Linked DNA regions of Danio rerio. Each later gene encodes a partner of the first gene's protein in a complex. Links are inferred from orthologs where the notes say so. Each region holds a gene or a part of one and is shown in the gene's direction. Other genes may lie near its edges.

Region 1 (4,186 bases):
AAACATAAAACAATTAAGTTCAAAAAATCTCAAGATTTGTGTTTTTTCAGCTCATTTTAAATTTGAAAAGTTTTTAACAAACAGCAAATGTTATTTGTGAGTGTGTGTTCCTCTTTTATCAGTTAATTACATATGTGCAAACCAAAATTAATATCCGCATAATTAATGAGGATCCAGAAATTTAGGTTTATCTTTTTTAATTTTGTTTATTAATTTTAGGCTCAATCCCAAAGAATCTGTGCTTCAGATAAAAAGAAAATCTTCTGTAATACTCTGAAGAATGGTATTTGAGTAAATTAACAGCATTTTTCAAAAAGTGTTACATGGAGAACTGTTGCAAAAATTAAGTTTAATAATGTTCAACTTAATTTGTTTGTTTAAATTCAACACAAATAAATTGTTTACAACCACTTTACGTAAAAAACAAATGAGCAAATCCAAAGAATCATCTCTGTATAATTTTTTTCAGTGTGATGTGCTGCTGTTCAGGATAATAATAATTTGGACTCTGTGAGTGGTGATAATATGTTGAATAATGTTAAACGGATGTATTCCATCATCATTCTCAAATGCTGCCTGTCGTGTTTGCTGATTTGCAGGTCATTATATAAGTCAGTTATCATAATATTTTTTTTAAAACTGGGGCCCCTGAGGGCCAAATAGGAGTGTTAGTTGGTCCGTAAAATAGTTTATTTAATTATATTAATAAATACATTATATTGATATTTTTCTTGCTGGATAAGTTGGCGGTTCATTCCGCTTTGGCGACCCCGGATTAATATAGGGACTAAGTCGACAAGAAAATGAATGAATTAATATTTAATTTTAGTTTAATGCATAATCACTTACAAATAAGTAAAAAAAAAAAGATTAAAATGATTAAAGTAGATTTTGTTAAAATTATTTTTAAACTAAATAAATACAATACTATATCATGAGTACAACAATGTGATGTTGACTTAATCTAAACTAAAAAAAATTTTTCTACAAATAATATTTAACAAGTATGAAACTACATGAACTATATGCATTTATCTATTACTGTATACGTAGGCTGGTGTCTTTTAGGAAATGTACAAAAGAAAGGCAAGAAATGATGACCCAACAGATGAGTAAATATCACAAGTAGCATGTGCCGAAAAACAAAAAAGAAATGCTTCCTGGAATTTTAAGGGAAACTTTAAAAAACTACAAGACTCAACAAAGGGAAAAAAAATTGTACAGAAGGGGCAGTAATGCAACAAAAAGGACGCCATCTGCCATTGAGGACTCAAAGAAGAAGAAGAAGAAGAAGAACGCATACCACGTGGCCGGAAGTGTTTCTAGTGGGAACCCGCGAATATTACACGAACTGACAGCTCGTCTGTACATTTAAAAACAAAGGTTTGTATATGAGAAACAAACGTCGCTTTACTCGAAACACTTTCGTCTTTCTTCAAGTGTTCTGTCGTTTTATTTTATTTCAAATTTCGCATTGAGTTACAAATGTTACCATACAAAAATATAGTACATGTGTAGTACTTTTAAAATGTTTTTTAAAAAATACCACAGTGTTTTTGAACCGAACTATAGTGAAGAGTATTATACTTATATATTATAGTATATAATTAAAAGTCTTTAAAATGAAGGCTAGCTACTTATAAATAATAAATACTGTAACATTAGTATAATGTTACGTTACTTAAGATTTTACTACACTAAACTGTGGTGTATTGTAACTTAGTGGTAACGTCAAATAACATGCCACATTGTTGTAGAAAACAGTGTAACGTTATTTAGGGCTGCTCGATTTTGGGAAAAATCTTAATCACAATTATTTTGACCTTTATTGTAATCACGATTATTCAAAACGATTATCAGTTGAAGTCAAAATTATTAGCGCTCCTGAGAATTGAAAAAAAAAAATTCCTAAATGATGTTTAACAGAGCAAGGAATTTTACAGTGTTTCCTCTAATATTTTTTTCTTCTGGAGAAAGGCTTATGTGTTTTATTTTAGCTAGAATAAAAGCAGGTTTAAATATTTTGAAACCCATTTTAAGGTCAATATTATTAGCCCCCTAAGCAACATTTTTTTGATTGTCTGTAGAAGAATCTACTGTTAAACAATGACTTGCCTAATTACCCTAATTAAGCCTTTGAATTGCACTTTTACCTGAATGCTTGTATTTTGAAAAATGTCTAGTAGAATATTATGTTCTGTCATCTTAGCAAAGATTAAAGAAATCAGTCATTAGAAATGAGATATGAAAACTATTATGTTTAAAAATAAGTTGGAAAAAAACTTCTTTCCATAAATCAAAAATTGGGGGGAAAAGGGTTTCTAATATTGAGGAGGGCTAACAATTCTGACTTCAACTGTGTGTGTGTGTGTGTGTGTGTGTATATATATATATATATATATATATATATATATATATATATATATATAAATATATATATATATATATATATATATATATAGTTATTTTCCAACCTTCAAAGGAAAGAGAAATAAATACAATAGAATAAAAATATGAAACCAACTTTGCTTTAAGCATCTTCACTGTAAGAAAAAAACTTTATCTACAAAAGTCCTTCAGTCAACAGCAGTAGTGGATTTTCTCCTTGTTGTTTTATTAATAATGATAAAAACAGGCGGCACAAGGAATATCGCTCTGTCACTTTAATGGTTTCTCTTTCACGTGTCTTTTGATTCCCAACTCATTTGTTTATTACACAAATGAGGGTTAATATGAATAATCACTCTGCGTTTTGACACCTATTTGACCATTAAAGCGCTCACGTTAATGACTTAAGACGTGTGCGCTCTGCTCGTCTCAGTGTACGGATGAGACGAATGCTGACCGCATGCTTCTGACTGTGTGTGCGCTGCACAAACACACACATAAGCACACAGTCTTTCGACTTTTAATGTGTACAACTGGAAAGGCGGCGGTATATGATGCAATAATCGATTATCTCGATTAATGGTTCATTATAATCGTTAGAAGCCAAAATCGAAATCGTATTTTCAATTAATTGCACAGCCCTAACGTTATTTGATAATTTGTTTATATCACCAAAGGTGTTGTGTTACCACAGCAGATTAATTCTGCTAAATAATGTAAAGTGCTTTACTATAGTACGGGTTCCCATATTTTGTGATTTGTGTATTTATTTATTTTTTATTATTTATGCTTTTGAGTTGCATTGTGAGACCTTGATCTTTCTTCTCATCACTTTTAACCTTAAAAAGGTGGAAAAAGTGACTTTTTTAAATGCTTTTAATAGTTAAAAGTTAGATATTGTCTAGTTGTCTGTTATTTTACAGGTTTATTTCTCTATATTATTTTTTATGTTATATTATTTTAAACTACTCAAATGTCAATAAAAGTTTTATGTTGGTATATCATGTAGGTTTACTTGTTTTATGTCGATTTGAGCTCATGTTTGCTTGAGTTTGGGAAATTTAGCTTATCTACACATGTGTTTTCCAGCTGAAAAGGACATTTAGCAGTCATGTCTAGACAGATGGGTGACGGACATAGGCTGTTCCTGCAGAACATGATGACCAACGGCATCGTCAGTGCAGCTCAGGCTGGAATGCTCCACAAGAAGTGCTGCGAGCTCCATGGAGGTATGAAGAAAACACTTGCGCTGATAGGGATAGAGTTAACCCAAAAATGAAAATCCTGTCATCATTTCAAACCAGTTTGAGTTTTTTTTGTTCAGTTGTACACAAAAGTGGTGAAGCAATGGCGCAGTAGGTAGTACTGTCGCCTCACAGCAAGAAGGTTGCTGGGTCGCTGGTTCGAGCCTTGGCTCAGTTGGCATTTTTGTGTGGAGTTTGCATATTCTCCCTGCGTTCGCGTGGGTTTCCTCCAGGTGCTCCAGTTTCCCCGACTGTCCAAAGACATGTGGTACAGGTGAATTGGGTAGACTAAATTGTCCGTAGTGTATGAGTGTGTGTGAATGTGTGTGTGGATGTTTCCTAGAGATGGGTTGCGGCTGGAAGGGCATCCGCTGCTAAAAACTTGCTGGATAATTTGGCGATTCATTCCGCTGTGGCGACCCTGGATTAATAAAGGGACTAAGCCGACAAGAAAATGAATGAATGAATGAAATGCTCATTAAGAGTTACACTTTTTGCTGGAGGAAACAGCTGTGGTGACGCAAGGCAAGTTTATTTATATAGCAGATTATAAC
Region 2 (3,110 bases), on another chromosome or scaffold:
GCGCACGCATCCTCTGTCGTGCTCTATGTGTTTGTGTGTGTGGGTGAATGAGAGCGTGCAAATCCACTGTGGTGCTCTTTGTGTGTGTATCGCTTGTAATAGCCTGACTGGACTCTGTAACATCCAGCTGGGTTTTTTGGGAGGCCTATTTAACCACTTTACATTCTTTCGTGGCCCAATATGTACCTGCTAGGTGTATAGAAATAATGCTGATATGATCTATAAAACACAATCGGTAGTTGTGAAATATATTGAGTGGATATGTTTGTAAATCTGACTTTGAAGGACTCAGTGCCTCACTAGCCACAAACCTCACCGCGCAAAGGGGCAAACAAAACTGACATTTTGCCTACATTCCCTGCACAACATACACTTTTTTTTCTGTCATATCTCTCTTGGTAGTGCCCAATTTTAACGTGAGATTTTGAAAACCAGATCTAAATTTAGCAGGAACGGTTGGCTCGGGTAGAAAACAGGGCGGGTCGGGCAGCGGGTGGACAAAGACTGAATATACGGCGGGTGCGGTATAAAACTTGGCAGGAGTGGGATTAAAATTTCAGTCCCACACAGATCGTTACTTTGTAGCTGTTTGTGTAGCCTGTGACTTTAAATCCAAATTTTCTGCTTCGACATGTGTGTCTGGCTGGATAAAGACATGGGCTTCGTCCGAAACCGCCTACTACTCAGTAGGTACTGCATTTGAATTTAAACGTACTACTCGGCCGTTAGAAAAGTACGTTCTATACAGTATGAACGTGAAAAGTATGAATGGAATTCGGACGTACTACATCTGACCTGCGTCAATTGTGTCGCTTTACTCCCATTCATGATTTCGCTCGCGGGGCATCATGGTATAGCACAGCATGCATGGGATGCGCACTCTAGAATCTTGCCGGAAGTAGGAAGTCATCCGGGTACTTCTCGCATACTGATTTTCGAATTCTATGAATTCGGACATACTACTTGGCTCGCATACTGATTTTAGCGTACTATATAGTATGGAAGTATGTGGTTTCGGACGCAGCCATGGATGAAGCTGAAATAAGGCCACTAGTCAAAAATACCAGGTTTAATTGATGTATTTGTGGTGGAGATTATTCAAGCCTTTCTGAAACGATGAGTCACACACAAATGCCATTTGCAGTACATGCGCATATGCACACATATAATAGCATTTACTGCCACCATGAGGCCGTGGTGATTATGGCGGTTAAGAATTACATGCCGATTTTACTCTCTTTATCACAAGCATGCATGTTTTAAAAACGTTATAACCTTATAAACTTAATCATTGAGGTGCAGCTGATCACACAGAGTTCTAACATATGTTTTAATCCCAGTTTCTTTGCAGAAAATGGTCTGTTGACATGCGTTTACATGTTCTCATGAAGATGTGGCACTTGTCAGTCCATTTGGTGGGTGGGGAAAATTGCACTCCTACATCACGTTGTGGTGGGCCTTAAAATCACTGGGATATGGATCCTATTTTAACGTCAGAAAAAAAAAAAAAAAAAGAGACATGTTGGGTTTATATCACCCCAGTATGACAGTAGACGCACTACATCGGCAGACAGTTCTGTCCGAACAGCTTACAAAATTTTATTTTCATCATAGGTGCCTTTTAAACCTTCATTAAATTTATCACTGATTATTTTAGGTTCACGTAGTACTTATAAGGAATTAAATGCAAGCTGAGTATGGCTGTTTGTAAAGCATACAGCACAATCTGCAGGTAAAAACTAAGCTCAGTTGATTAGCGATTAATCAAAAAAAAATCCTAGAATAGTTTTCTCTGACAATTTTTCATCACAGAATCAACTATTTTTATGACAAAACCGTACATCACAGCTTCTCTTTGAATCTTTAGACCAATCAAATGCTCTCTAGTATCTAAAGTGTCGACCCTCCTACAAGACATGACTGTAATTTGTCATATGAAGGTTCAATATAAAATAGCAAAAAATGATTGCCAGCAACACCTTTTTTTGATCTGCCATGTTTAATGCAATCGTAATAATACAGAGAGGGTCCCCTGAAAGCAGGGCTACTGTAATGCTCACCTGTCTATGGCAAACAAACCTAAAAAAATGTATAGTCAGCATACAGGCAACTGTGACATTTGCAGTGAAGTCGTCTATACAGTGACTATTTTTTAGAGTAAATGGCATAGGGGATAAACAATTGAGACCGTGTTATATGGTTGCCTTTAGAGTGAATAAAGCATGGTTTCATGTTAACGTCACACTGTGTCTATTTTGATTGGCCAAAAAGACTATATTAAGTCAAAAAACTAACTCTCTCCATAATAACTTTTTTTTGTTGAGCTAATATATAAATTAATATTAGGAATTTGGTAAAAATGATGTGTACCACAAACTTTTGAACAGTAACTTGCAGAATAATGTAAAAATGCCACTTTCCCATATTTCTTCACAGTTGTCCAAAGGTTGGCTGTGGAAATGCAGATGTACAGGAGTCAGATCTTGAGCTGGACCTGATTATGAAGAGAATGATCCAGAACCAGAAGAGACAGAGCGGAAAAACCTAAAACTATCATGCAGATGTTATGGCTGTTCTCACTGAATTGGGAGCATGGTTTGTTCTAGAAAAATCCCTGAAAGCTAGAACTGAATGCAAATTTGGTTCATGTTATTGTTTATATACATTTAAAGTTTACATTTGTAATACAAATATTATTGCACTGTCAGTTATGACGTTTTCCAAAAATGTTTTTAATCATTCTCATATCGTCTCATCTTTTATTCTACAACCCATCATCAAACATAGGATGGCAACGATGACAAATATATAGCTTTAAAAATGTTAAATCGTTACTTAAGTTTTCAAACAATTTTTTTCCCAGCTGATGATACATTTTTGACAGAGTAAGAATGGTTTCAGGAGCTTCAGCACTAGGCATCAGACCTCAAACTGCAGCAAGCAATTATAACCAGGGCTGCACAAACTCAGTCCTGGAGGTCCAGCGTCCTGCAAAGTGTAGCTCCGACTTGCTTCAAAACACCTACCAGGATGTTTCTAGTATGCTTTTTAAAGGATGATTAGCTGGCTTAGGTGTGTCAAATTGGTCTTGGAGCTCAACTGCAGTGGAC

The links. The genes of interacting proteins can lie anywhere in the genome.
Region 2: nsmce1 (region 1) and nsmce2 share a complex: the UniProt entries of both Homo sapiens proteins name them as parts of the SMC5-SMC6 complex. The link is inferred for Danio rerio from reciprocal best matches to the Homo sapiens genes NSMCE1 and NSMCE2.

What each region holds. Positions count from the first base shown.
Region 1 is NC_133178.1:43,206,953-43,211,138, forward strand, and holds the start of nsmce1 (non-structural maintenance of chromosomes element 1 homolog), read left to right. Parts: upstream 1-1,318; 5' UTR 1,319-1,383; intron 1,384-3,477; 5' UTR 3,478-3,499; coding exon 3,500-3,617; intron 3,618-4,186. UniProt on the Homo sapiens protein: RING-type zinc finger-containing E3 ubiquitin ligase that assembles with melanoma antigen protein (MAGE) to catalyze the direct transfer of ubiquitin from E2 ubiquitin-conjugating enzyme to a specific substrate.
Region 2 is NC_133191.1:26,965,655-26,968,764, forward strand, and holds the end of nsmce2 (E3 SUMO-protein ligase NSE2), read left to right. Parts: intron 1-2,436; coding exon 2,437-2,548; 3' UTR 2,549-2,596; downstream 2,597-3,110. UniProt on the Homo sapiens protein: E3 SUMO-protein ligase component of the SMC5-SMC6 complex, a complex involved in DNA double-strand break repair by homologous recombination. Is not be required for the stability of the complex.